Stegostoma tigrinum: one gene and its partners. The protein of the gene in region 4 purifies or fractionates together with the protein of the main gene of each other region. This does not show direct contact. Links are inferred from orthologs where the notes say so. Each region holds a gene or a part of one and is shown on either strand. Other genes may lie near its edges.

What was found.
Region 1: the proteins of cttnbp2nlb (region 4) and serine/threonine-protein kinase 24-like purify together in Homo sapiens (affinity purification with mass spectrometry; 3 studies listed by BioGRID and IntAct, with this or other methods). This does not show direct contact. The link is inferred for Stegostoma tigrinum from reciprocal best matches to the Homo sapiens genes CTTNBP2NL and STK24.
Region 2: the proteins of cttnbp2nlb (region 4) and strn purify together in Homo sapiens (affinity purification with mass spectrometry; 5 studies listed by BioGRID and IntAct, with this or other methods). This does not show direct contact. The link is inferred for Stegostoma tigrinum from reciprocal best matches to the Homo sapiens genes CTTNBP2NL and STRN.
Region 3: the proteins of cttnbp2nlb (region 4) and strn3 purify together in Homo sapiens (affinity purification with mass spectrometry; 4 studies listed by BioGRID and IntAct, with this or other methods). This does not show direct contact. The link is inferred for Stegostoma tigrinum from reciprocal best matches to the Homo sapiens genes CTTNBP2NL and STRN3.

The regions. Positions count from the first base shown.
Region 1 is NC_081359.1:18,049,371-18,057,008, reverse strand, and holds the start of serine/threonine-protein kinase 24-like, read right to left. Parts: upstream 3,016-7,638; 5' UTR 2,625-3,015; coding exon 2,583-2,624; intron 1-2,582. UniProt on the Homo sapiens protein: Serine/threonine-protein kinase that acts on both serine and threonine residues and promotes apoptosis in response to stress stimuli and caspase activation.
Region 2 is NC_081357.1:94,950,816-94,958,665, forward strand, and holds the start of strn (striatin), read right to left. Parts: upstream 3,012-7,850; 5' UTR 2,665-3,011; coding exon 2,428-2,664; intron 1-2,427. UniProt on the Homo sapiens protein: Calmodulin-binding scaffolding protein which is the center of the striatin-interacting phosphatase and kinase (STRIPAK) complexes.
Region 3 is NC_081363.1:61,112,593-61,119,674, reverse strand, and holds the start of strn3 (striatin-3), read right to left. Parts: upstream 3,015-7,082; 5' UTR 2,856-3,014; coding exon 2,616-2,855; intron 2,462-2,615; exon of another isoform or gene 2,408-2,461; intron 1-2,407. UniProt on the Homo sapiens protein: Calmodulin-binding scaffolding protein which is the center of the striatin-interacting phosphatase and kinase (STRIPAK) complexes.
Region 4 is NC_081374.1:6,853,017-6,860,613, reverse strand, and holds the start of cttnbp2nlb (CTTNBP2 N-terminal like b), read right to left. Parts: upstream 3,008-7,597; 5' UTR 2,399-3,007; intron 161-2,398; 5' UTR 90-160; coding exon 52-89; intron 1-51. UniProt on the Homo sapiens protein: Regulates lamellipodial actin dynamics in a CTTN-dependent manner. Associates with core striatin-interacting phosphatase and kinase (STRIPAK) complex to form CTTNBP2NL-STRIPAK complexes.

The DNA of each region.
Region 1 (7,638 bases), on a different chromosome or scaffold from region 4:
CCCGGCACCTTCCCCTGCAATCGCAGGAAGTGTAACACTTGCCCCACACCTCCTCCCTCACCCCTATCCCAGGCCCCAAAATGACTTTCCACATCAAGCAGAGTTCACCTGCACATCTGCCAATGTGGTATACTGCATCCGCTGTACCCATTGTGGCTTCCTCTACATTGGGGAAACTAAGCGGAGGCTTGGGGACCACTTTGCAGAACACCTACAGTCGGTTCACGATAAACAACTGCATCTCCCAGTCACGAACCATTTTAACTCCCTCTCCCATTCCTTAGACGACATGTCCATCCTGGGCCTCCTGCAGTGCCACAATGATGCCACCCGAAGGTTGCAGGAACAGCAACTCATATTCCGCTTGGGAACCCTGCAGCCCAATGGTATCAATGTGGATTTCACAAGCTTCAAAATCTCCCCTCCCCCCACTGCATTCCTAAACCAGCCCAGCTCACCCCCGCCTCCCTAACCTGTTCTTCCTCTCACCTATCCCCTCCTCCCACCTCAAGCCACACGTCCATTTCCTGCCTACTAACCTCATCCCACCCCCTTGGCCTGTCCGTCCTCCCCGGACTGACATATTCTCTCCCTACCTATCTTCTCCTCTATCCATCTTCGATCCGCCTCCCCTGCTCTCCCTATTTATTTCAGAACTCTCTCCCCATCCGCCTTTTCTGATGAAGGGTCTAGGCCCGAAAGGCCAGCTTTTGTGCTCCTAAGACGCTGCTTGGCCTGCTGTTCATCCAGCCCCACACTTTGTTATGTTGACTGATACCTAGACTGCTTCCAATGCAAGTATATCTTTCCATTAGATAAGGGGACCAAAACTGTTCACAGTATTTGAAGTATGGTTTGACTAATACTGCCATGTATAATTTTATAAAGAACTTTCTATTTTTATAATCTATCTCCTTTGAAATAAAGGCTAACAGCCTATTTGCCTTCTCTACTAATTGCTAGTTTAGGTGCTAGTTTTGAGAGATTCATGCATGAAGACATCCCTGTGTGTTTCAGCTGTCCACAATCATACCACATTTATATAACATTCAGCTCCCCTGTTCCTCTGGCCAAAAGGCATAAAGTCAGATATTCCCACATTCCTGAAATTCCATTCCTATCACCACTGTGGGTCAACCTACAGCATTATCTGCACCAGTCCAAGGTGGCAGCTCACCATCACTAGGGTAACTAGGGACAGGCAATAAATTCCAGCACAGCCAGCAACATGCACATCCAAATGTGAATAAAAAAGTTTACATTCCACCTAATAGATTTTAGCCCACTGTAGATTTCTGTAGACTCTATCATCCTTATTATCACATCACCTAGTTTGTACGATGTGCAAATTTGGTGATCGTACTGACTTCCGTCATCCAAGTCATGACTACATGTGGCAAATAATTATGGAACCAACATTAATCACTGTGACACTCACTCATTAGAGGTTGCCATTCCGAAACTAGACCTCTTTTTCTTCAGAGGTAGTAGGAACTGCAGATGCTGGAGAATCTGAGATAACAAGGTGTAGAGCTGGATGAACACAGCAGACCAAGCAGCATCAGAGGAGCAGGAAAGCTGATATTTTGGGTCGAGACCCTTCTTTTCTGAAGAGGCCCAAAACATCAGCTTTCCTGCTCCTCTGACGCTGCTTGGCCTGCTGTGTTCATCCAAGCTTCACAGCTTGTTACCTCTTTTTCTTCAATTGGTTAGCTAATTATCTCTCAATACTAATATATTACCCACTACCAATGTTCCCTCTCCCTCAGAGGGACAACATATGTCAACTGGTGCGCAAACACACTGACGCCCAATTCCAATGTTACTGTCCCACATAAGGCATGGAGGTCCAAACAGCCGCAAGAAAAAAAACACAGCGTTGTGCCTTACACCAACTCCTAAGTAGCCTTACGTTTAATACCTTGTGGAATACCTTTTGGAAAATATATACCACATCTTCTGATTTCCCTTTATCTATCTTGTTTGTCATCTCCTCGACAATCTCTATTAAATTTGTTAGACATGATTCCCCTTTCATTAAGTCGTGCTTGACTATATTAAGTATTTCTAAATTCTCTGCCATAACTTCCTTTATAATTAATTGACGTTTTCTGAATGATAGCCATCATTCAGTTGCCAGGGCTGTAAGTTCTGGAAATGCCTCTTTAAAACTCACTGCCTCACTCTTCATTATTAAGGTTAAAACCAAATCTCACTAAGCCTTTGGTCACCTATCTTTAGCATCTCAGTGCGACTGGGTGAGGCTGGTATGCAGCTTCCGTCGTTAAAGGCTGTTGTTTGGTTGGACAAGTGTTGCAGAAGAAAATTGCATGCCAGCCGAAGTTTTCCTCTTGTACTCATCAGGACAGGTGAAAGGATGCCAATGCCTGGACGCATACCTTTTACCTGAGCAGGCCAAGTAGCTGAATGTGAACATTCTTGACCCGTACAGAACCAAATGCTTTTCTTCAGCAAGACCCAAATGTTAAAAGATGCTATAAACAGACGCTGCTGTAGCCCTTGTTGTTAAAGCCTGGTGGGCAGCCTCTTCCCCAACCCCCAGCCTAGCCTCAATCTCTTACCTGTACCCCGGGCAGAGTGGCCTGCTCCGGGGACTGAGCCATCCCGCCGGCCCTGCTCGGGATTCCTGAAGGGGGAGGGGGTAACAGCCCGAGTGTCCTGAAGGAATCGACACCGACCAAGCGCCTCAGCCAAGGTGGGTTTTTTTTAAATGGGGGTGGGGGGCAGTCAGTCCAGGTTAGGCCCCAAGCCTCAGCCCCCGAATGGGGTGCGGCCCGGTCTCATAAACCCCCACAACCTCCGACACCGATCGCTTTGTAGGGCTGAGGACAGTGCGGAGCGGAGGCTGCGTAGGAAAAGGTGAACGAAAAGGTCTGGAAGTGACTGACTCCGCCGCCGGTCGAAGGCAACAGTGACCGAGACTGGGGAACGAGCTCCGTTCACTGGGGGGAACGGGGCCTGGGACCTCCCGCCTCCCGGCGGCGCTGCAGCCGGAGGCGGGGCAAAGGGAGCGTGACGTCCCCGACATCCTGCCCGCCCCCTCATCCATCGTCATTTCGCCGGACCTGGGACTTCCGGCGGAGCGGGAGCCAGGGGCGGAGCGCAACAGCCAAGCAGGCGGGGCCAAGGCCCGGCGAATAGGCGTCAATGTCGACCTCCAGCCGCCCGAGGGCGCGGTTACAAGCAGGAGCTGATCGGATGGAAGGCGGGGCCTATTATATTAGGCAGGGCGGGGCTCCATGATCGACCTCTTCCCGCTGCTGTCATTCACGGAGACCGCCGAACGGTGGAGGGGGGTTGCAGGTGGAGCGGGCCGGCAGGATTTAGGTAACCAGGTCGGAAGGTTTTGTTTGTCGGTGGTTCAGGCTCAATGATCCCGTATATATGATTAATCAATTACAGCTAATTAATTAGGACTTAGAATTAACGCAGTCCGGTTCGAGCGCCTGTGACCCAATCTCACTTAAAAAGAGGTCCATCGGGCGGAAAAGGCTGTGGCGAGGGTTTTTTTTAAAAATTAAAAATAAGAGGTGTGTGAAGCCAACAAGCTGGGCCTTCATAGATAAGGTGTAGAGCTGGATGAACACAGCAAGCCAAGCAGCATCAGAGCAGCAAAGCTGACGCCTCGGCCCAAGCAGGGTTAGACTATTGAACCCACTGAATCTGTTCCATTATTTAATGAAATCCTGGCTGATGTGATAACACTAAACTTCATTTTCTGACCTTTTCCACAACCCTTGAATCTCATACATATTAAAATCCTATCTTGAATGTACTTAATGGCCCAGCTTTCGCAGCCCTTTGCATCATGATCTGTACAGATTCACCATCCTCTGAGGGAAGAAATTATCTCGCGTCTTATTTTAGTTTTGTGGCCACTGAGTCTGAGATTATGCACTGTGGTCCTAGACTGTCCACAAAAAGAAACAACCTTTCAATTTCCCCCAAGAATCTTGAATGTTTCAATTAGGTTGTCTCCCATTCGTCTTGAATTCCAATTAGTGAAGCTTTATTTACTCCACAGGGTGCTCGAGTGCACACCAGTGGATGCAATGATGATCTCCTGCCACCAGGGGAGGCTGAAAGTCACTTTTATAGGAGGCAATTAAATGCCCTGACACCAGAGGGTGCCAGAATGCCTTCCGGTTGGACCTGTGAAGTCCTCAGGATACCAGAGAGAACACCGCTACTGGAACAACTTGGCTAGCAGTATGGCAAATTCTAAAACAAGTCTTCGTTACTGTTAATGGAATGTAGTCAGGGCCTACAGTCTTTGTAATGCCCAGTACCTCCAGCCATATCTATTAAAAAAACACATGGAGTGATCAAGTTAGCTGAAGACTGGCATCCATGATGCTGTGGATCTTTGGAGGAGACTGAAATGGACCATCCGTTTTGTATTTCTAGTTGTTACATATGCTTCAGACTTATCTTTTGCACTGATGTGCTGGGTTCCTCATTATTGTGGATGAAAATATTTGTGCAGCCTCAAACTCCAGTGAGTTGTTTAACTGTCCACCATTGTACACAACTGGATGCAGCAGGGTTGCAAATTTAGATCGGATACATTGATCCTTGGTTTGTTTGGCTGACTTTTGTGTGCTGCTCACGGAGGTAGTCCTGTAGCTTCACCAGGTTGGCACTGTATTTTGTTGGCTTGTCTGGTGTTGTTCCTGGTATACCATCTGGCATTCTTCATTGAACCCCTTTGCTGATGCCCTGATTTGAAGGTAATGGTATAGCAAGTGATGAGCCAAGCCAAGATGCTACAGATCGTGGTTAAATACAATTCTGTTTGAAGACAAACAGTACCTCATGGGTGCACATATTTGAGTTGCTCCATCTGATTGAAGTTTGTCCCATTCAGCTCAGTCGTAGTGCCACACAACATGAATAGAAGAGATTCTCAATGTGAAGATGGGTCTTTGTCACATAAGGACCATATGATGGGCACTCCTGTATTGGACAAATGCATCACCGACAGATGAATTGGTGAGGACAGGGCCAAGTAAGTTTTTCCTCCTGTTGGTTCCCTTACCACCTGCCGCAGTCTCACTTTTACAATTATGTCCTTCAGGACTTAACCAGCTCGGTCAACAATGGCACTGCCGAGCCACCCCTATTGGCAGACATTGAAGTCCATTGTCCAGTGTATATTCTGTGCCATTGCCAGTCTCAGTGCTTCCTCCATGTGGTACGCTGATTGACCAGCTGATAAATGGTGGTGCCATTGATGGTAATCAGAAGGGGGTTTCCTTCCTGATGTTTGACCCAATTCCGTGAAATTTCATGGGTTCTGAAGTCCAGTTTGAAGACCTCATGAGGACATTGACTGCAAGGTATGATTTGGAAAATATGACTGACAGGCTGTTGCTTGACTAGCCTGAGGGACAGCTCTTCCATGACCTTCCCAATATTAGCAAGAAAATATTTGCAGAGTTGGCAGGATTAGGTTTACCATTGTCATTCACATGTCTAGACCAATGCCAGATAGTTCACCTAGTTACATTCCTTTCTTTAGGCTTCTTAACATTTTTGATACAACTGGGCAGCATGGTGGCTCAGTGCTTAGCCCTGTCGGTACTCAGTGCCAGGGAAACGTGTTCAATTCCAGCCTCGGGTGACTGACTGTGGAGTCTGGAAGTTATCCCCATGTCTGTGTGGGTTTCCTCCCATAGTGTAAAGCTGTGCAGGTTGGGTGGATTGGCCATGCTAAATTGCCCAGGGATGAGGAAGGGTCACTGGACCCAAAACACTCATTCTTGTTTTTTTTTCTTCACAGATGCTGCCAGACCTGCTGAGCTTCGCCAGCAACTTTGTTTTTGTTCCTGATTTGCAGCATCCACAGTTCTTTTGGTTTTTATTCAGGATTGTCAGGAGTTTAATTAACATTCAATATTTGTAGTGACTCTGGGAGCAGTGGGACTTGATTTCCAGTGAGTATGATGCCAGTGATATTATTGCTACAGCACTGCTTCCCCCTGTGTATGCTTTGGGATTATCTGAAATGCTGAATCTCATAGTCCAATGCATAATCCACAATAGAACACATATGAACACAAACTTACCTCTGGAGTATTGTCCTGAAGCAGTCAAACCTCTTTGCTCTGGACGCCAAAAAATCATGGCAAACAAATGGTGAATTATATTAGCCCAACTTGCCAACCAGGACTGTCAACATGAGGGAAATTCTCACAGAGGTATTTATGAGTAGCAAGATCTGATAATGCCATTTCGAGCTCCATTTAATGGCATGGATCACTGCTTTCCAAAGAGTAGTACATGACAAAACAGTTCATACTTTAAACCTCAGTTTTATACTGTCACTTTGTAAATCTGCTTGAATGAATGAGACGCAATCCTAGTACGAACCCAACAGGTATATTCAGTAGCTGCCTGTGCTGAGTATTATTTTAATAGAGAAAACCTTCAGAGAGATGAAGCACAGAGGGATATGGGAGTCTCATACTTAAATCACAAAATATTAGCAGACAAATTCAGCAGGTCGTTGGGAAGACAAGTAAAATGTTGACCTTTATTTCAAAGGGAATAGTGACTTAACATAAGGAACTCTTGCTAAAACAACACTAAACACTAGACAGACCACACCTAGAATACTGTGAATAGGTTGGTCTTTTCATCTAAGGAAATGTTTACTGGAGTTGGAGACAGTGTTCTGTCTGTGGATTTTTTTACCACAGAGTGCTTTTGAGGCTGGGTCATTAAATACGTCTAAGGCTGAGATGGACAGATTTCTAACCAGTAAAGAAATCAAAGGGCATCAGGAAAGTAGAGTTGAGGGTGATATAATCTGTTGTGAGCTCATGAAATGGTGAAACAGACCTAATCTGCCTGGACAGTCTACTTTTGCCCCTAATAAACACATAAATGAGTGAATCATTTTAAAGTTTTAGATGCTATTTGAGGAGAAGAGAAGCTGAGGAACTTATTCACTACAGTATATAAATGAATATTTGGAGTGTTAATAAAGCACTAAGGATATCTTTCACCCAGGAAAAGATTTGAAGAGTAGTTGAGATTGTTAACAAGCTAATTTAAGTTGTCATAGAGTCATACAGCATGGAAACAGACCCTTTGGTCCAACCAGTCCATGCCAAACATAATCCCAAACTAAACTAGTCCCACCTGCCTGCACCTGGTCCATACCCCTCCAAACCTTTCCTCTTCACGTACTTACCTTTTAAATGTTAACAAAATGTATTGCTAATGATTCCATAATATCACTTACACATGCTGTGGAGATGTCTTTTTTTTCTTGTCCCATTACCATCAACTTGACCTTGCACCTTCTACTTCTGTCATTTAATATCTCCTGCTTTGCATTTCTGTATGCTGGAGAAATGTGAACTGCTGTAAGTTATAAACTCAAAGTGCAAAACATATCCTCAGATCTTGAGCTCTGGGAGAGAAGAAAAACAAGTTTAAATTTGAAATGGATTAAAATACAAATATGTTTCACATACATGTAAGACACCATTTAACAGCCAGGGACCAATTCTAAAACAACATACAAGAGCAGATCACACAGAGTTAACATTTAGTTCAGTGACTTGCAGACACTCAAGAAAATCAGGTTCAAGCAGAGAAGATTTATAT
Region 2 (7,850 bases), on a different chromosome or scaffold from region 4:
ACCAGCTAGGGTCTCATTAGCACCTTGTAAAAAGTTACCATAAGATTGAAATTTATAATTTATTGGAAGCAGCATGGTGTTTCTGCTCCCACCAAAAACTCCATTCTTTTCCCCCACAGCTGCCAGAGTCTGAACCAGGGAACACGTAAACCTGTCATTTTAACCAAGATGAGATTCCAATTACATAGCCATACCATCAATACAATTGTTTATTTCCAACTCTAGCATCGCCTAATTGAACTCACGTTCTGTTGAAACCTTCATGTTACTTCTATATTTTGCCAACATATTACAATCCTAGCTCCACTTTTTACCCTATTTAAAAATGTGCAGTAATTCAAAACTGTGGCCCATGGTATATCTCAGAGGTCCTAAACCTCTGGAATTCCTTCCCTAAAGTACAGTACCTCTCTCTCCTCCATTAAGATGCTCCTTCTTTAACCAAGCTTGTTGCCATCTACCCCAATATCCCCATGAGGGTATTTGCTCCTGCAAATCACCTTAAAATGTTTAAAAGGTTCTATATAAGTTCATGTAGCTTTAGTTGCTGTAGTAAGCACTTTACCGACATTTCAATAGGTAATTGTTTAAAAAATCTTAGCTTCAATAACAAGTCAGAGAAACTCAAGGGGGAAATCAGCAACAGGAAAGCAGTGGGGATATGTTAAAGGTACTGAAAGTGGTAGCTTTCAGAAGAAATACTTCCACATACTGAGTTGATAGATAATTCAAGAATTCAGATTTCGTAGGCTAAAGGTTATGAATGCTGAAGTGCCACGGCCACAGAACATTCAGCTTAGTAAATTATATTTCAAGTATAAGAGGGTACACTGAAGTCTCAGCTTCCCTTTTGGTTTTACATTATTTGTATAAATAAAAAAGCTGGGAGTGTTTCATATCCTGCAGATTCCTAAAACAATGCAACAGAAATATTAATGGAACCAGCTGCATGAACAGTATCCCATGGTTACTCCTTGATAATACGTAAATGGTAGACAGCTCACAAGGTACACATCCCATAACGATCTCAACTTTGGGTTTATTCTATTATAATAATGGAGAAAAGACATTGTCTAATTCTTTTCAACATGCTGTCAAGCCTTTCTGCAATTTTGTCAATTTCTCCTAACAACTGTTAAACATTAAAAAAAGTTACACTCAAGACACAATGTAAGTTGTTGAAATGCAGTCTTGAACAATAATGTTAGGCATGATGATATGCCATTAGACACACCAAATTCAGGAATGTCACACAGATCTTGACCAAGGCGTGTAAATTACTATAATTTTAAAAGGTGGTGCTCTGGTTGATGTATAATGATCAAAAACTCCAATTTTTGTCCTGTTACGTTGTGGGGAATCCTTTAGACTATACCAAGAACATTATACTATTCAGGACAGCTGTGTTTCTTTTGGAATGTCATTGTGTAACCTTTGGTTACAATGATTCATTGATAGATAACAACAGAAAACACTGGGCAGAAATTGCTAAATCATGGATGTTTAAATCTCTAATGAGGCCAAAGGTGACTCCCTTCAATTCAGAATACTGAATCTTGTTCCAGTACAACCAATTTAAATCAAGGCCCTTCAGAACTGCTCAAGAACGAACCAACAGTCTAGCTGAATCAAGTTAATGTCGATCAATTCATACAGGCTGGATCACCAGGACTGGTGAGGGTAAAGGCTAGTGGATGGAGCAAAAAGTGCATGATTGTTTAACCGTGCAGTTGTCCCAACACACAGATCATTCCACTTCCAATTCTTTGACAAAACTATCTAGTTATTTCTACTCCGCTGGTCTTCAGCCATATCTCTGCAATCTCCCCATTCTCCCAGTATTTATCTGACTGCCACTACTACTAAATCTGTTCTTCCTCCCCTTTCAGAGGGTGCATTTAGATCATAAATGGCTGTCTCAAGAAAAAAATTCTTCGTCCCTCTGGTGCTCTTGTCTATTTTAAGTTTGCTCCCTTTAACTACTGACAATCCTGGCCAATTAACTGATCATATTTCTTCTGGAGCATTCCATACAATCAGGCTGCACCGAGAAGTCTACTCGACCCATCGCGCCTGTCCTGGCTCTTTGAAAGAACTCAAAACGATACCGACCACTTGCTCTTTCTTCAAAGGTCCTACAAACTTTCCCCTGCAAGTAACTTGCCCAATTCCGTTTAAGAATATTACTGAAGGCATTTTTGGAATGTCGTTGCAAAGCTCCTCTGATTTAAACTGTCATCGTCACTGGGGAAGAGCTGCAAAGTTGAGGGTCTTTGAAGAAAAAGCAACACTATCCTCCTTCCTTCCTTTGACAGGCGGCCATCTTAACGTATCCACCACCCCCTTACCCCGTTGATCAGGGAGAGGTGGTCAGCAATCGAGTATCCAAGCATGAAGCGCGGCCTGGCCGAGGGGTGCGTTATTTACCTGCAACTCGGCCCTGTCCACCTCCCACTGCGTCCTCTCTATTTCGAAGCGGGCCCACTCGTGCTGCAGGAAGTGCAGGATCCCCGGAATGTTGTACTGCGGCCTCTGAGCTTCCCCCTCGGGCCCCGGTTGCTGCGCCGGCTGCAGGTTCCTGCTCCCGATACCCGGGCCGCCTCCTCCTCCGCTCAGCACTGAGTTATTGCCGAAGAACACCCCGGCTCCCGGGTGTTCGTCCATGGCTGGGGCCCAAAACCCTTCGTCCGTCCCCTCGGCCTCCACGCCGGCGGCTACGACCACGACCGCGGTGGCGGTGACGCCGCCCCGGTACTTGGTCAGTCCACCGGCCCTGGACTTCCTCTGGCCGCTCGGCGGCGCGCGCGCGCGGGGCCGGCCGTTAAAATTTAAACCGCTCTGCGCGTTCCATGACCTCGACTGAATCGAGCTGCTGCTGATGACGATGATGATGATGATGATGATGTTATAAAGCCGCTGCTGTCACAAACAAACCCACTGACGGTTGGCCGCTGTCTCTGCCTCACCCACTGCTACCGGCGCATGCGCGTCCGCCGCACCAAACTTCGACCTTTTCTCAACCTCCCTAGACCCCGCCCAACTTTCTCGACCCCATTCTGAATCCCTCTAGCCCGTCCTCCTCAGAGCCCCACTCCACTCCAAAGGGAAAACTAAAGCAGTGCGGTGCTGGAAATCAGAAAGTGCTGGATAAACTCTGCAGGTCTGGCAGCACCTGTGGAGTCAAGGCTTCAGTTCTGAAGAAGGGTAATCGGACCCGAAACATTAAAATTACTTTCTCTTCACAGATGATGCCAGCCCTACTGAATTTTCCCAGCTACTTCCGATTTTACCACCTCTATTGAGGACCCGCCCCCATCCTTAATCAATTTCCACCCCTCCATAGACCCTATCTACGCATGCGCCGACAGCTTCAAGCGAGCCGCTAGTGCTGCTGACGTCACGCCGTCCGAACCCTTCTTCTGCCTCCCAGGGCCTCAACCTCCCCGCACAACTGCGCTTTTTGATTTAAAGCCGACCAGCTTTGCGCCTGCGCTGGATATCCAGTTTCGCGCATGTGCCGGGACAGACGTCAGCTTTTGTGCTCCTGAGATGCTGCTTGGCCTGCTGTGTTCATCCAGCCTCACATTTTATTATCGCGCATGTGCATTCTGGTCCTCGATGGTGGGCGTGTCCTCTACTGGCAACGGCGCAGGCCGTCGGGTTCTGAGCCGCAATGCGCATGAGCAAATCTGCGCCCGGATAACAGTGTGGAGAGAGATAATGGGAGTTGCGGATGCTGGAGAACCCACGATAACAAAGTGTGGAGCTGGATGAACACAGCAGGCCAAGCAGCATCTCAGGAGCACAAAAGCTGACGTTTCGGGCCTAGACCCTTCATGGTGATTTTTGTGGAACACTTTGTTATCTTGGATTCTCCAGCATGTGCAGTTCCCATTATCTCTGATAACGAAGTGTGGAGCTGGGTGAACACAACATGCCAAGCAGCATGATAGGTGGTCCTCTGATGTTGCTTGGCCTGCTGTGTTCATCCAGCTCCACACTTTGTTATCTCGGATTTTCCAGCATCTGCAGTTCCCATTGTCTGTAAATCTGTGCCGTCCTTTCTCAGGCCCTCGTACCTCCGGAGGGAAAGGCAGGATCTTTCTGTATCCAATGGAGGGTCAGTCGCCAGACGTGTAGAGTCAAAAAGTGAAATGTTGGGTTAGCCAATAAAAGAACAATTTAATCTCAGAAGTCTATTGTCTATCATCGGTAAAGTGACATAAAGGTAGAACGCAAACACAAAGGGGAACTCCAGACCTGCGTTTACAGAAAGACCACCCATTTGCACCAGATACTCAATTATATCAACACCCATAAACAAAGCTGCGTCAGGATACTGTTTCATACAACACATTGCAGCAACCCCGATCTACACAAAGCAGAACAGGAGCATCTATACAGAGTCTTCAAAAGGATTGGATACTCAAAAAGCACAATCCACCAACAGACTGCAACAGGAAGACACAACACAACCAGACTCACTAGTCACCCTACTGCACATCAATGAGGTTTCAGAGATGACCACAAGATTACTCAGACCCCTAGGTATCGAAGTAGTCCACAAACCAACAACCACTCGATGACAGCTACTTACAAACATAAAGGATCCCATACCCAAAACTGGTGTAATATACAAAATACCATGCAAGGACTGTGAGAAACACAACCCAGGTCAAATCAGAAGAAAACTGACAATACAGATACAAAAACACCAACTAGCCACCAATAGACACAACCATTTCTCACTTGTCTCACTACACATTGACAACAAGGGACAACACATCCATAATGTCACAAGCTAAACAGTGATGCGCCAGGGAATTCCTGGAGACCTGGTATTCTAACGGGAACTCCCATAACAAATGCACTGAATTAGATGCGATGTACAAACCAATGAGAAACAGACCAGAAGTGGTACCAAACTACCCAACAAACTGAGGCATATAAATAACAAGTGGAACAGAACATCAATGCTTAACCAGAAATGGACTGACAATGTTACCTAGCAGGATGATGAAACATCTGCAGCCAAACCCACTGGCTTGGCAAACATGTCTACAACCTGAACTAAAACCCAAGCAACAAATCTTCTCAAAAATTTTAAACACCTATCCAATCCCATTTTTCAGCACTTGGCCCATAGCCTTTTATATTGAAGTATTTTAATTGCTCATCCAAATGTTTCTCAAAAGTTGCGAGAATTCCCTCCTATACCACTATTTTAGGTGTTTGCTCTAGATGTGAAAATAAATTCCAAACCCCTCTGAACCTCCTGCCCTATACCTTGTTTCTAAGTTCTTTGTTTATTAGCCCCTCTACCAATGGGAGAAGTTTCTTCCTATCTATGCCCCTCATAACTTTGTAACACCTCTACTATGTCTCCCATTAGCCTTCTCTGCTCAAATTAAAACAACCTCAGCCTATCTAGTCTCTCTTTATAGCTGAATCACTCCAGCCCAGGCAACGTCCAAGTGAATCTTCTCTGCACCATGTGCAATGAGATCGTTCCTCTCATGCAGCACACAGATCTGCGCATAGCACTCCAGTTGTGATCTAATTAATGTTTTACACACCTCCATCATGACCTCCTCGCTCTTGTACATAATGCCTCAAAACAAAGGCTAAAATCCATATGCCTTATCCATATTTATCTACTGCCCTATTGCTTTCAAGGATCCAGGTACAGATACTCTAATGGTGTCTCTGATGCTCTGTACTTCTGAGGGTTAAACCTGTACTCTGTCACCTTGTTATTTGTCTCAAAATGCATCATCTCACTTTTCAGGACTAAATTCTTTTTGTCACTGTTCAGCTCATCTGATGAGCTGTGTATGTTAACCTGCAGACTAAAGCTTTGCTCCTTGGTATTTACCATATCATTTTGTGTCATTTATGAACTTACTGGCCTTATAAACATTGCTTCCAGCAACTAAGCCAATTTTGGATCCAATTTGTCAAATTGCCCCGGATCCCATGGATATTTAGCTTCTTAATTTGTCTGCCATGCGAGAGCTTGTCAAAAGAGTTATTGAAGTCTATGTAGGCTATATCAATGGCACTACTCTCATCTACACACCTAGTCAATTCCTCAAAAAATGTAATTAAATTTGTTACACATTATCTTACCTTGACAAAGCTGTATGGGCAAACCTAGACTCTCCGAGTGGAGATTAATTCTGTCCCTCAGAATGTTTTCAAATAGTTCCACATGCTGGCCTGATGTTTCCTAGTTTATCCCTATCACCCTTTTTGAATAGCATACCACTATTGGCTTTAAAGCATTTTGAGAGCTCCTGTGGTCCTGACGATATTACATAGAGGCAGCTTTTTTCTTTCTTTAACAATTCAGAATTTGTGAAACTGAGTTTGTAGCAGGTTAAATTGAATAAGTTGTTTTGATGAACAATCATAGACCTGAAGTTTATACATTGTTGAATATTCTTATGTTTTCTATCTTTATTTTTGCTAGAGGAAAGGAAATTGTAAAAGCTGAAAATGTAAGCTAAAAATAAAAAGTGTTAGAAATACACAGCAGGTCATTTAGCCTCAGTATCAGCCAAGTCTTAGTTATTCATAAATGCTAAATTTCCTGTGTGCAGTTACGACATTTTCTCTTTTTGTTGTAATTAAACAAACACACAAACAAACTAACAAGTTGAAGTGAAACAATTTGGTAAGATGAGGGTAAGGATACATGTAGGTAAGAGCCAATTGAAAATACAAGCTTGAATTGAAAGTTGGACAGATGAAGGAGCGGCCAACGATCAAAATGTTTAACTGAGGCAAAAGCCAATATTAATGAGAATAGAATGGAATTAAACTAGATAAATTGGTAGAAGAATGGGCAGGGTGTAAAGTACACCAGGAAATGTACAAAAGGCAGATGACTCCAATACAGATCAGACATTGCTCAACAGGCAGAAAATGTGGATAAATGAAGAGAAGAAAGAAAATTATTGGGATAATAATTTAAAATAAAACCAACCCAAATACAGAAAATGTAGAGGCAATACAACAAAATTAGATGAGAAATTCTAGGGTGAAAATTGGAGGAAAAATAGTCCAGCATCTGAGACAGAAGGCCAAAACTTCATGTTCGCCTTTTGATACTTGAGCAAGTAGTTTTGGATGACACTTCCAATCCAGTACAAAATGAGTGCTGCGCTATCAGAACTGCTATAGTTACACTAAAAGAAATGAAACCAATGCCTTGTCTCACCTCTCAGATGGTCATAAAATTTCCCAAGCCACCAGTTGAAGACGAGCAGGGAGGTTCTCAATATCCAGGCCAATGATATTGCCTTACCGAAAATTATAAAAACACATTAACCAGTGATTGTGAAGTTGCTGTCGGTGGAACTTTGTTGTATATTGAGATTGCTTGCTACATTCACTGCAATACAATGGTATCCACATTGTAGAAAATTTTGGTGGCTGTAAAGCACTTTGGGGTGTCCTGAACACAAATATGGCTCTGGATGTGGGTTTGCTCGCTGATAAATAGAAAGCGGGACATAACACCAGCGCTTTACCGGAGGCTCACTGATGATGTTACCTAGAATGGTGACGAAACGTCTGAAAACGAGCCTTCCAGCTCAGCAAGCAAACTTACATCCAGAACCTCAACCTGAGCTACAAATCTTCTCAAAACTTGCTAACAAATATGGCTGTCCTGAAATGTATCATTTTAATGTGATTTTTTCTTTACAGTACTTTCCAAACATAAATTCAGTAAAATAGTTAATAAACAGTCAGTGTTGATCACACAAGGAAAGGGATCACACATGAGATAGGGCAAAAATAAAACTGTTGGAAACACTACTTACAGGTTTTTTCTCAATATTTAT
Region 3 (7,082 bases), on a different chromosome or scaffold from region 4:
CTGGGTCTGTATGTGCAGGATAATAAAAAAAGCTTGCTGTGTTGGAAAGTATGGATAAACAAAGGGATCGGGATGTCTTTGTAAGCCGATCAATGGGTGGGTGCACTAGCAATTTGGAAGGCAAACTGGGGTTGCCTTAGATTTATAGGACAGTGCTGGTTGTAGATGCTGGTGTGTTCGTTGATTTGATAGCAGATGTTTTGTCCCCTTACTACATGACATACTCAGTGCTGTTGTCTTGTGCCAGTTTGAATTTACATGGTCTGGTTTTTGCTGCTTCTGGTAGGTGCCAGTTCTGGCTGTGCATTGTAATGGTCAATATATTGAATCCAATTCAATGTGTTGGTTGATAGAGTCCTCAGATGAATGTCAAGCCTCCAAGAATTCCATGGCTGTCCTCTGTTAGATCCAATAGAAGGATGAAACGGGATCTGACTGAAATGTATAAAATTCTAACACAGAGATAAATTGTGTACGCTTGTTGGTCTAGGGGTATGATTCTTATCGTGTAAATTCTAACACAGCTGGACACACTGGATAGTGGGAAGATTTTTTTTCCTGATTGGGAGTCCAGAATCAAGGAACAGCATTAAAATATGGGTTAAACTATTTATCTGCACATCTTCCCAGTGTCTGTGTGGATTTCTTCCAGGTACTCTGGTATCGTTCCACAGTCTAAAGATGAGCAGGTTAGATGGACTGGCCATGCTAAATTGCCCACAATGTCTAGGGGTGTGAGGCTAGGTGGAAATGCAGTGTTACAGGGAGGGCTATGGGATAGGTCTGGGTGAGACGCTCTTTGGAAAGCCAGTGTCCACTCAATGGGCTGAATGGTCTGCTTCCACATTGCATGGATTCTATGATTCTTCAAAGGGTAGTTAATCTGGGGAATTCTCTACTACTGAAGACATGTATGCCAAATTACTGAATGTATTCAAGAAAGTGATTCCTTTTTAGATTTTGAAAGTATCAACAGGCATGGGAAGAAAGCAGACATATGGTCAGCTATTATCATACTGAAACCTCGAAGGCCCAAATAGTCTGCTCCTAGTTTCTGTGATTCCAAGTACAGTATATAGTATATGGTTTCAATTAATGTAGGATAAATATTTTGTTCCCAAAACTACAAATAAAACATAAACTACATCATTAAACTTAATTCAAGAAAAATCTAGCAGTCAAAATCACATTTACTCAAAAGGTCTAGCAAAATTAAACTACTGGTTGATATTAATGATAATATTTAATTATAAAAACTCACAATATAAAGAATCCAGGTACACCAATTTTAAATACTGAGATTAATTAGTGACAGTGAAGTAAGTCACTGCCTTGTATTTTAAAAAAGGTTGCATGTATTCAAAAGTAACAAAAAAAATTTACTTATTACCATATTGTCAGTTAGAATGTAACGACAAGTAGCATTTCTTCAAAAAAAAAATACATTATCAAGTTATTTCAAAACACTTCAAGATTTGAATTTTAGATCTGAAGTGTAGTTGCTTTAATGCGAACAAACTGCATCCGATTTCTATATAAACTCAAACATGACTAGTTAATCCATTTAGTGCTGTTTTAAGAGTAAGTGATCTGTGAGAACTCCTAAATTGTAAACAGTACCAAAATTATTCTTGAAATCAACAGACAAACATGGCCTGTTTACAATTTCACCCAAGAGATGGAACCTCTAAAAACGCAGCATTGTCCTCAACATTACAATGCCTACACTACCTTTTGTTGCAAACTGTTTATACAAACAGTTGTCTGTCTTAAAGTAATATTTTGAAGACACAAAGGGTATCTTAACAAGTCATGTAACATATAACAATGCTGCTGTTAGAATTAACTTCAGAAATGGATATATGGTATAATGACACCACCAAAGTGAACGAGGAATTGAGATCCTGCATTTTGCCTTAAGCTGTCCATCGTTACAACGATAAACAGTTACCACGATGTGAGAACATGCATTTGTTTAAATGACAGGATCGCAATGAAACTGCAAGTGAATTAAAACGATATCGCGTCAGTCAACTGAATGTCAAGTCTATGCCCGATGTGGTCAGTGCCAATTTGTCGGATCACAACTGAATCGCTTCAACACAAACACATTTATCCAGATTGACAGTTTCAGGCAAATTATGAGAACTGAGTCATATTCTGCATCAAGGGCTTATGCAATGCTACCCAAGCAACGCTCAAACAATCCATTCTGCAAAACCAGACACCCGGGTCTGAGGCTCCCCGTTTGATCAGAGATGTAAGAGGCGCACACTGTCCGACAACAGCATCATTCGGTAACAAATCAGGAGAAGCAAATTAAGTTGAAAACCAGGACCATCAGACGAACCTAAGGTCCATGAGCACCCACATACAAACATGCTCCCAGTTATTTACACTCAGCTGTCCGGCGCCATATTGGAAACAAAAATGGCGGCGGCGAGGATAGCCTCACACTTGGGTAAATACTATCCGCTCTATCAATCCTCCTCCGAGCCCCGGGCGAACACTGAGCACACAACCGTATCGCTCATTCCGAGTTCGACGTCCCCAGCTGTAGATCAGCCCTCCCCGGACCCCCAGACCCGCTGTGCGAGCACTGCTTGTCACTCTACCTGAAGCTCGGCCCTCTCCACCTCCCAGTGCGCTCGCTCCATCTCGAAGCGGGCCCACTCATGCTGGATATAGTGTAAGATGCCGGGGATAGTGTACTGGGGCCGCTGCTGCAGTTCCTCTAGCTGACCCTGCTGCTGCTGCTGCCGGACACCGTTGTTGTTGCTGCCGTTGCTTCCCGGGCCCAGCAAAGGACCTCCGGAATTGTTTTGTGAGGACATTCCTATCGGATGTTCGTCCATGTTTATTATTGTTATTACTACGGTGGTATTGTTATATTAGTGGGAAGGGTCCGCGAAGGAAAGTAACCGGATGAGTTTCAGCGTCGCAAGCGAGCCGCCATTGCCCTTCTGTCTGCAGAATATGGCGGCGGCGCTGCGCTGTCGGTGGAGGAGGAGCAGCCGCGGCCCTTTGGCCAAATACAGCAGCAGCGCTAGTGCGCAGGCGCGCCTCACTGGCCCACACACCTGCTCAGTGTCTGCAGGCTACTCACTAGGACCTTACCTGTCGTTTCTACAGAGAGACTGAAAAGAGCGTGTAAGACAAATGAAATGAGATTCTCCTTTTACGATCAAAGTATCAGTTTCTATTCAGATATTACTTCCCCTAAGAAACGGTCTGGTGCGATTCAGTTTAATTTAAAATGTTTGCTCTTTTTCCTTATTTCTAATCAGTGATCGCATCACTTTTGCGGATACTATTTAAGACCCCGTGTGTTCAGATAATTGAGTTTTATTTAACAGAACCTGCTAATGCAACAGGAAAGAGTTTCTGTAACTTTCTACAATAATCCTTTAACTTGAAGCTAAAATTTTCAGCATTGCACCATTCTGGCTGACAGGAGCTTGTTGACTTTTTTTGTTGGTTTTGCTAGGGTAGAGGTTCAAGTGTATGTTCCTGTGCTAAAGAGGAGAACCAGCCACAGTCTTATTATTGATCACTGCCCAGTTCTTTTTACTATTAAGGGCTACAGTCTTAATTATCCATTCATTTCTCATTGTCTGAGTTTACGGAAAGAATAATCATGGTGAAAGATGCCAGAAGGCTGACTATATCCAAGACACATAAGTAAAACCAGGTGTGGGTTATCCTGCAGACCTTCAAGTCTGCTTATCTACTAAATATAGAATCCTACAGTGTGGAAGCAGGCTATTCCACCCATCACATTTGCACTAACCCTCTGAAGAGCATCCCACCTTATTTCCTGCAACCTCCTATGGTTCACCCACTGAGTCTGCACATCCCTGAACATTATGGGAAATTTAGCATGGCATGTCTTTGGACTGTGGGAGGAAACTGGAGCAAGCCAACACACATCTAGAGAATGTGCAAACTCCATACAGACAAGTCACTCAAGGGTGGAATGGAATCCTGGTCCCTGATGCTGTGAGACAGTGGTGTTAATGACTGAGCCACAATGTCACAACAAATCTTTTGCATCAGTTTTGTTTTCTTATCTTCTCCCATTAATCTTGATTATGTGAGATCAGAAATGTATTTGTCTGGAGAGTTCACACCTCTGTAGAAAATTCTAAAGATTCACAGACCTCTGAGTGAAGAAATTTCTCTTCATGTCAACCCCAAGTGATCCTTAACCTGAAATTGTTCCCTGGTGATCAGAGATAATGGGAACTGCTGTGTTCATCCAGCTTCACACTTTGTTATCATTGATCCCTGGTGCCCTAGATTCCCTAGACAGGAGAAAAACCTTCTCTCTTTAACCTGCGAAACCACTTCAGAATCTTGGATAAGAAGGTGTAGAGCTGGATGAACAAAGCAGGCCAAGCAGCATCATAGGAGCAGGAAAGATGATGTTTCGGGCCTAGACCTTTCTTCAGAAAATTAAGAAGGGCCTAGGCCCGAAATGTCAGCTTTCCTGCTCCATTGATGCTGCTTAGCCTGCTGTGTTCATTCAGCTCTACACCTTGTTATCTCAGATTCTCCAGCACTTCCTACGACTTCAGTTTCAACTACTTGCATGTTTCAACGAAATCACCCCTCATTTCTTTAAATTCCAGAGTGTACAGATATAATTTACTTAGAATGAATGGAATGGGTAGAAAACTGGATGAAAAGAAATTATTATAAATTCTGGAATAAGAATGCAATTAGTTAGTAACATTCGCAGTCAAAAACAAAGATGTCAGTCAGTCAAGATACCATGTACATCATGAAGATCTGCAACATTCAACTCTGTAGCATTATCTGCTCTTCCGTTATCTCAACCCATGTTGCATTGAAAACACTGATTCATTGAACTGACCCTTCCAGTTTTAATTATTCAATTATTCTTCAGTCCAACTTCCCATTATCCATGGTCCACAAGCTAAAATTACAAAACTCTGTTGTCTTTATTCTAACCATGGCCCGACCATGTATTTGCAGGCATTTATTAACTTTTGATCACCTCCATGAATAAGCTCTTGATCTCTCATCCTAATCCTGTTGCTTCGTGTTACTTTTCCTTTGCCTCTGTCAACATAAGTTTAAAAGGAACCTGAGGGGCAATGTTTTCATGCAGAGGTTGGTTTGTGTATCGAACAAGCTGTCAGATGAATTGGTGGAGGGAGGTACAATTATATCATCTAAAATGCATCTGGATGAGTACATGAACAGGAAGGCTTTAGAAGGTTATGGGCCAAATGCTGGCAAATGGAACTACATCAGTTTAGGATACTTGGTCGGCATGAACAAGATGGGCCAAAGGGTCTGTTTTCTGTACTATATATCTCTGACTCTGTCTCTATGAATATACCAACATACAAATTAGGAGCACGAACCAGCCACTTGGTTCCTTGAACCTGCTTCACTTTAAAGACAATTTATAAAGGTATATTTTTCATATTTTGTTCCTTAGAAGTCCTGGAGATAGTCTCTGCACTGATACAACTCTAATCCTGTACCAGTAGCTATCAGAAGTTCTTTTCAAGCACTTATTGTTTACATTTGAGTCTGAATATTAGTTGTTAGTAAGCAGTCATAATGGCCCAATGGTAACATTCTCAAATTTTAGTCGGAAAGATACAGTTTCAAGAGTACGTATGTCAGAGCAGTACTGAGTGGATGCTTCTTTGTTCAAATCACAGTCTTTTGAACGAGACATTAAACTGGGCCATGATCCAGTGATTAAAGAGGAAGAACGAGTGTTTGGCAAATTTATATCCCTCAATCAAAATCACCAAAAACTTGTTAATTTGTAGTCTGTTGCTGTGCACCAGTTTGCCTTGTTTATTTGAAAACCAGCCATAACTACATTTCAAGAATATTTTATTTTGTGAAACATTTCAGGAAACCTCAATGTCTATTTGGTGTTAATTGAATGCACTTTTTTGGTTTTATAGACCTACATAGCAATGCTCGGGTGCTGTGCTCACATAATGTGATGTTTTCCAGCAGTAGTCAGTAAATAATGAAAAGATAAAACCTTGGATGTTATTCTCAATCCACGGATTCATAGGTCAACTACAAGTCCCCAGTGCTGCTTTGACTGACGTGACTGAATTCAGTATGGACCAATGAACAGAGCTCGCACTTGCAAGTACAGCTGAATGGAACATGGCACAACTTCCAGCTGAATGATTTGGTCGGTGGGAAGTGGACAGCTGTATCTGTTTTTATTGATTACACTATCAACAGTTCCTAAGTACAATTCTTCAATCATACTGAATTGCCATTAGTCCTGAGTGATTGGTCAACAATGGAGATTTTTACTTTGAGCTATGAATGGGGTTTCCCATCACGTCAACCAATGATGATAAGATAATTATAGTGTCTGCATAAGTTAATTGGAATTCAACTGCAGAAATACTGAAGTGGAAGTCACTGTAACCATGAGCTACATTCATGCCTGCATGAGGCAGCTGTTAGTGTCTTTAATGTGACTCTTTCAGTTGCTGGTTTTCAGTAGCAGAGGATAGAAGAGTCTGAAAATAGTTATCCTATATTGTAAACAGCCAGAATTATCTTCAGGATACATTCTATTTAATGAATAACATCTATTTTCAGTCTAATTTTCCTTGTCCATATCAATCATTGCTTTAAAAATAAATGTTATAATTCAAAATACTTTCCATTTGAGTAATTTTAGTTCTTTTCCATCTTCTAATAATGCTATATTTGCTTCATGCCTTCAAAGTGTTACACTTTGTTACAGGAAGAATCAAACTTAACCAAAATACATTGAGGTCACACTGACATAGCATTTCAGTCTGGTTCAAACAGTTCCTCATCTCTTTAGTTCTTGATATGTTTGATATCAAGATGATTGAAGTCCTGCTGTCACATAGTAGTCACTTGTCTTATTAAGGAAATGTGTAGGCTGATTTGGCAATAACTGTGATATTGTCACTTTTGAACTTCTATCTGATTTGAGATTGTTATTTAGCTGATGCTCATTATTTTAACATTTTGATTATATGAAGTAACTGTTAAAATTGTTTGAGATACTGACACAATACAGTACGTGTGTG
Region 4 (7,597 bases):
TAATTAGACAGATCGAAATGGAATCAGGCAAGTTAGTGCAGCTGCATCTACCTGTACAACAATGGAGTCAAATTGGAGGAGTGCGACATGACCAACCATTCCAAAAACCGCAGACAGAGAAGGATGAGGGATAAAGTAAAGAACTGCAGATGCTGGAGATCTGAAACAAAAACAAAGTGCTGGAGAAATTCAGTGGACTTGGCAGCATGAATGATGATCTGTAGAGTGAAAAACACTGTCATTTTGCGTCTACTCACCCTTCATCAGAAATTAAAGTGGCTGGGAAAACAGAATATTTACGCCGAAAGAAAGAGACTACATGGAGATTAAGGAGTGTGTACCTTTGCCACAGTCACCACGGTGTCATTTGAGAGTTTGCAGAAGAGAAATATAGCTGGAACAGGTTTCGAAACTAGCTACTGGACAGCTGAAATGTCAGTAGAGAGGCAGTTACCAACAGTGAGACAGTTATAAACAGAGGGTGACTGACAGGATGAATTAATTCAAATCGCTCTCATTGTCAGGCTTAGTGGCCTCTTTCTGGAGAGTAGGATTCAACTACACAATTAGTGCCCACTGATTAGAGAGAACTATTACCACAAAAAGCTTAAAGTGTATTGAATAGAACAAAAAGACTGTTAATCATAACTTTGACTTCAAAAATTACTACATATGGCTAGACTTTCAACAACTGATCGTACTTTAAATGCAAATTCATAGGCTTGTTATAATAGTAGTGTGATAATAGCCATCTATTTATACAATGACAGCAAAGCACTACTTGCAATAACACAACAAATAAGCCCATGTGAATAATTGTATGGAGAACAGACCTTAGTCAATTAGAAAAAAATAGAAGAAATGAGTCAATGATTCAGAGTATGAACGAATTTTGAAATATAATCACAAATGGAATAGTGAATTATTTAAGAAATGGAAATAATTTGCTCTTAAAACAAGAGAATATACATTTTCTTTCGATAACTACCCTCTAAAATACCTGTAATGCAGTACAAAAACTGGTCATTTCACTTGTTACTTCCATTAAAATAGTTTGCCCCAAGCAGAGACATAGCTGCAAAACAGAGCTGTTTTCTTTAATTTATTTGGAATTAGTTTTGCTTTATTAAAACAATGGGAACTCTAAAATTCTACGGTAAATATAAAATACAACTTGTTCTTCCAAATTCAAATCAAGGAACTCAAATTTATAGATCATTTTTCATACTTGATCCAAAACTATCTCACATGGAATTAAGTACCTTTTGAGTATAACAGTGTTAAAACTTATCTTTTACATAATACTATTCATGGGCTCAAGACTTCTCAATGTAAATTATAGTCAACTTTTGAAGTATAGATGTAGTGCAGAAAACAGAACAGCCATTTTGCACACAGAAAGCTCCCACAGGCAACAATCGCTAACTGATGTTGCTCAGCAGTTTGGCTAAGTCATAAATATTGATCCAGGTTATTGTGCAGAACTCCTCAGCACTTTTTTTCCCCCAAATAGTACACATTGGGTCTTCAATGTTGACCCAAGATGATGGGACATTGGTTCAACATCTTCTCTGAAAGTAAGTGCTGCAAACTTCAACTTGAATTATAGGCTAAGTCTCTGTCTCATTGTTTAGGTACTGGTGAAAAAAAGAGTCATTGATTCACACACCATCAGGTCCCGGAAATGGCAATGAGGTAAATGCTCAGTTAGCTCATTCCCCTCAACAATGGGAGATGGGGAGTGAACTTCCCTGCCTGAGCTCAAACAAACCTTTCAGGGATTGATTCTGTCCTCAGGCTTTGCTTTATTTCTAGTGGAACAAGAACAAGATTTACTAAATAACTGCTGGAATGAAGCCTTATAACTCCAGCTGTGGTTTTAGTCATTTTGGCTTCTTAAAACAGTGGGAAAAAATATCAGTGCTGATTCCCTAATGGTGTAACTGCACCAAACACAAATTAAATAATGTTCAGGAACATACTAGAGCAGAAATTATGATTTCTTTGCTTCATTAAAGAAAAAGCACTTGGTCCTCAAGCTTTTTAATCTTTTTCCAGCGCAGATAAAATTAACATTTTAATCTTTGTCTAATTGTTGAGGCAGTGGATTTACAAAGTGCAAATCGGAAAGGAAGGTACACAACATTATAAGACTGTCTGAGGCAAATCCATCCATTTTGTTGCTCTGCATGAAAAGAAGCCCTGAAGTGACTGGGAAAAGAAAAAGGAATAAAAGAGAAACAAAAACAGTGGGAAAAATTAGAATAAAATTGAGGGGATAAAAAGAAAAAATAAAATCGTGAGAGAAAAAAAGACTCAGAAGCAAAAATCATCAAACACATAGCATAATCACGAAGAGAACTATGGAGCTAAGGCAGTTTTTTAAAAAAACACTTACATTTAATGCCCCTTTGCTCTCCGAAGCCGGTGGAAAATCTCAGATCTTTTTTTCTCTCTCACTTTTTTTTCCGCCCGCCTCTTTCGACCTCGGGACGTCATCGAGGTTGTCTGACAGCCGTTCTGTCCAATAGGTGGCTCGGATTGCTGCACTAGCGAGCCAATCATATGAGGTCTGGGGGCGGGTTAAGGCCGAGCCACGCCCCGCACGTTCCCGCCCGACCGTCGGCCTGCGAAGGTTTGCGCGTGCGCGGTGGTTTCCCCACAACCCTTTCCGGAAGGGGGCGGGCAGAGTGTGAGCTCCGCCCAAGAAGTGGTTCGGTTCTGAAGAAAGGCTGCCGGACCCGAAATTGTTAACTCTGATTGTTTTTCCTCACAGATGCTGCCTGACCTTCTGAGCTTTTCCGAAAACTTCTGTTTTTGTTCCTGATTTAAGCATCCGCAGTTCTTTTGGTTGCTAACTGTTTCCCCTTGTCCCAATCTCTACGCATGCGCACATGCGAGATCCGTCTCCAGATACATGGGCGGTGCTCGCCCTTACTCCGCCCCATTCCGCGTTTACCGCCGTTAATCAGATTCTACACATGCGTGACGGTGTGTCCGAACCCCCTCCCACTCTACTAGCGTGGCTCATTCGCCCGACACAAAAGTCAGTCAATAGTTACGCATGCGTAACTATGCGACCCGTCTTTCCGCCGCGGACTGGAGGGGCGTGGCTTTCTGCCACAACACACGTCAGTCAAACATCTCACATGCGCAGCTGTGACACGGCCGAACGCCCACCGGAGTACGCATGCGCATTATGTTCCGCCCGCGGGCCCCGCCTTCTGCCGAGGTCTGTGCATGTGATTATGTCGTGACTCCGCCTCCACCGGAGGCTTCCTTTGTTTCACCCGAGCTCCGCCCCCTGACGGGATTGGCAGGTTAAACGCCAGGGAAGGGGCGGGGCCTCATCCAGCAAACAGAAGCCGTGTTCTCTTCTGAAGTTTGCAACAAGTTGAATTGAGACGAAGTGTAGCGCTTTTCTTATACTTGGTATGTATGTGGTTGTAAATTTAAGTATTTTGTTTTTTGCATGATTGAGAAGGACATAGGAAAGTGTGAACTTTATTTGCAACGTGCATTAACAACTGTTTACATTTATCTACTATTTATCCACAAGCTCAGGGCGTCGCTGGCCAGGTCAGTATTTAATGCCCATCTTTCTGAAGAAGGGTTTAGACCCGAAACGTCAGCTTTCCTACTCCTCTGATGCTGTTCATCCAGCCCTACACCTTGTTGTCTCAGGTTCCCCAGCATCGGCAGCTCCTACTACACGTGAACTGGACGCGTTTTTTTTCCTGACCATTGACAACGGATTCATTATTAATTCAGATTTTCCTCCCCCCCCCCCCCCCCCCCATTGCATTCAAATTTCATCATCTGCCATGAACCCATGTGTCCAGAACATTAGTGATAATGGGAACTGCAGATGCTGGAGAATCCAAGGTAATAAAATGTGTGGCTGGATGAAGGGATGGGTGAGAGAAAGAACAGGTTAGGGGGGGGCAGAGACAGGTTGGACTGGTTTTGGGATGCAGTGGGTGGAGGGGAAGAGCTGGGCTGGTTTTGGGATGCGGTGAGGGAAGGGGAGATTTTGAAACTAGTGAAGTCCACATTGATACCATTGGGCTGCAGGGTTCCCAAGCGGAATATGAGTTGCTGTTCCTGCAACCCTCAGGTGGCATCATTATGGCACTGCAGGAGGCCCATGATGGACATGTCATCTAGAGAATGGGAGGGGGAGTGGAAATGGTTTGCGACTGGGATATTGTTTATTGCGAATGCTTGGTTTCCCCAATGTAGAGGAAGCCACACCGGGTACAGTGGATGCAGTATACCACATTGGCAGATGTGCAGGTGAACCTCTGCTTAATGTGGAATGCCATCTTGGGGCCTGGGATAGGGGTGAGGGAGGAGGTGTGGGGGCAAGTGTAGCATTTCCTGCGGTTGCAGGGGAAGGTGCCGGGTGTGGTGGGGTTGGAGGGCAGTGTGGAGCGAACAAGGGAGTCACGGAGAGAGTGGTCTCTCCGGAAAACAGACAAGGGTGGGGATGGAAAAATGTCTTGGGTGGTGGGGTCGGATTGTAGATGGCGGAAGTGTCAGAGGATGATGCGTTGTATCCGGAGGTTGGTGTGGTGGTGTGTGAGAACGAGGGGGATCCTCTTAGGGTGGTTGTGGCGGGTGCAGGGTGTGTGGGATGTGTTGCGGGAAATGCTGGAGACGCGGTCAAGGGCTTTCTCGACCACTGTGGGGGGGAAAGTTGCGGTCCTTGTAGAACTTGGACATCTGGGATGTGCGGGAGTGGAATGCCTCATCGTGGGAGCAGATGCGGTGGAGGAATTGGGAATAGGGGATGGAATTTTTGCAGGAGGGTGGATGGGAGGAGGTGTATTCTAGATAGCTGTGGGAGTTGGTGGGCTTAAAATGGACATCAGTTACAAGCTGGTTGCCTGAGATGGAGACTGAGAGGTCCAGGAAGGTGAGGGATGTGCTGGAGGTGGCCCAGGGTTCGGCTAGGTGGATGAGGGTGTCAGTAGAGGGGGACTGGTCTTCCCCTCCACCCACTGCATCCGAAAACCAGTCCAACCTGTCTCTGCCCCCCTAACCTGTTCTTCCTCTCACCCATCCCTTCCTCCCACCCCAAGCCGCACTTCCATCCCCTACTTAGTAACCTCATCCCACCTCCTTGACCTGTCCGTCTTCCCTGGACTGACCTATCCCCTCCCTACCTCCCCACCTATACTCTCCTCTCCACCTATCTTCTTTTCTCTCCATCTTCGGTCCACCTCCCCCTCTCTCCCTATTTATTCCAGAAACCTCACCCCATCCCCCTCTCTGATGAAGGGTCTAGGCCCGAAACATCAGCTTTTGTGCTCCTGAGATGCTGCTGGGCCTGCTGGGTTCGTAGTTAATCTGCTTTATCTTCATGGCAGGTTTGGCAGCATGAGTGTCTACAGGAAACTTCTGCTTCTGTCTGTTTCAGATCTCCAGGATTTGCTTTTCTTTGTTTTATGTAAGCATTGACTCATCAGGTAAAAAAATACCGTGCTGCAGGCAAAACGGACACCATGATGGCAGATCCATCGGGAGTAGTGGAAATGTGGAATTACAGATATAATCAGATCATCTGTGATGTTGTCAAATGGGGGAGCAGGCTTCAAGGGGCAAATGGCCTCGTCCTGGTTTGTTTGAGGTTAAATCCTGATTCGATGTCTGTTCAATACTCTTTGTCTCATTGTGAATCACATAATTGTTATTGTGCAGAAGGTTGTCATTTGCCCCATCCTGTAACTCTGGCTATCTAAGCGTTTTAACTTTATGCCAACGCCTCACCTTTTCGACATAACCCGACTCATTGTTCCTATTTAAATAATCATCTAATGCCCTTCTTGAATGTCTCAATTGAATCTGCCTCTACCACATTTCCAGACAGTACACTCCAGACCTAAACTACTCGCTGTGTGAAAAGGATTTTCCTCACCTCATGTTTATCTTTTGTGAAACACTTTAAAACTGAACCATCTGGTTCTTGAGTGGGAGTGTCATTTCCCAATCTGCCTTTCCAGATCTCTCATGAATTTTAATACTTTTACCAATTCTCCCCAATGAAAAGAGTTCCCATGTTTCCAGTCTTTTCTCATGACTGAGTATTTCATCTTGAGAACCATTCTTAATAAAAACCAAAAGAACTGCAGATCTTGTAAATCAAGACAAAAACAAAGTTGCTGGAAAGGCTCAGCAGGTCTGGCAGCATCAGTGAAGGAGAAAACAGAGTTAACGTGTCGGGTCTGGTGACCCTTCCTCAACTTTGGGTCACTGGACCCGAAACAATACCTCTGTTTTATCCTTCACAGATGCTGCCAGACCTGCTGAGCTTTTCCAGCAACTTTGTCTTTGTCTTTGTCTTTGTTCTTAAATTTCTTCCCCACTTCTCCAATGCATTCACATCCTTTCAATCATGTAACGTTCAGAACTACACAATATAGTATGCCAGCTAACGCCTAACCAGTGTCTTACAAATATTCATCATAGCCTTCATGTTTTTGTACTTTGTGCTCCTATGTATGAAGTCAAGAATAATGTGGGCTTTATTTACCACTCTCTATCTGTCCTACTTCTTTAGTGATCTAGGCACGTGTCCATTTGCTCCTGCGCACACTTCAGAAGTGTTCCTTTATTTCGTACTGTCTGTCCATGTTAGTTGAACTGACTGCATTACTTCACACCTTTCCGCATTGAGCTTCATCTGCTGCCTGTCTGCCCACTCCACCGTTTGCGAATGTCCTCTTGAAGTTCAGGCGTTCTTTTCTGGATTTCAATTTCACCAAGATTTGTTTTGTCCCCGAATGTTGAAATTGTCGCTTGCACATTTTGCTTGATTTTATGTAAAATCGGGGAAAAGCAAGGGTCCCAAAACTTTCAGCTGGGCAGCTATGCTGCCAGCCTTTATCTAGCCCAAAGAATATACATTATCCACTACCCTGTTTCCTATCAGCCAATTTTGTATCTGCTACTGCTGTTGCCCCTTATATTCCATTACCTACTTTCCTCATAACTCTATTGGTGTGGCATTGTATCAAAAACCTTTCTGGCCTCTTGTTCATTCATCCCTGATTTTAAGCATTCCATCACTGGCAGCCAGCCTTTGATTGCCAAAGCATTAACATCCAGAATTCCTTCCCTCCACCTCTGTGTCTGATTTTTCTGCTTTCAGGCCCTCATTTAAAATATATCTGTTTTGAGCAGCATTTTGGTTTCTGGTCCTAATAGCTGCTTTGGCTTGCTATCAAATTTATTTGATAATTCTCCCGTAAGATGCCCTGATGCCTTACTTTGCCAAAGGTTCTATATAAATGTGAGTTGTTTCAACCCTGCAAGGAGTTCCGTTTTATTTCAAATGACCCTTTGAACGTGAGAGATTTATGCCCACTTTGAGGCATGTTTATGCATGTAGTAAAAGCAAGTCCTTTTGAGAGCAACCCTATAATACTGTTTATGCCCCTCTTCACCATGGGTGACCTCTTTAGTTATGGGGGTCACCATTGCTCATAAGAGCAGGCAAACAGACCTCATCACAATGTGCTGCTTATTTATTCTGCAAGGCAACGAGGTTATAAAGTGACTCCATTAATAAGGAACTTGGTTTGTTTGTGTGTGT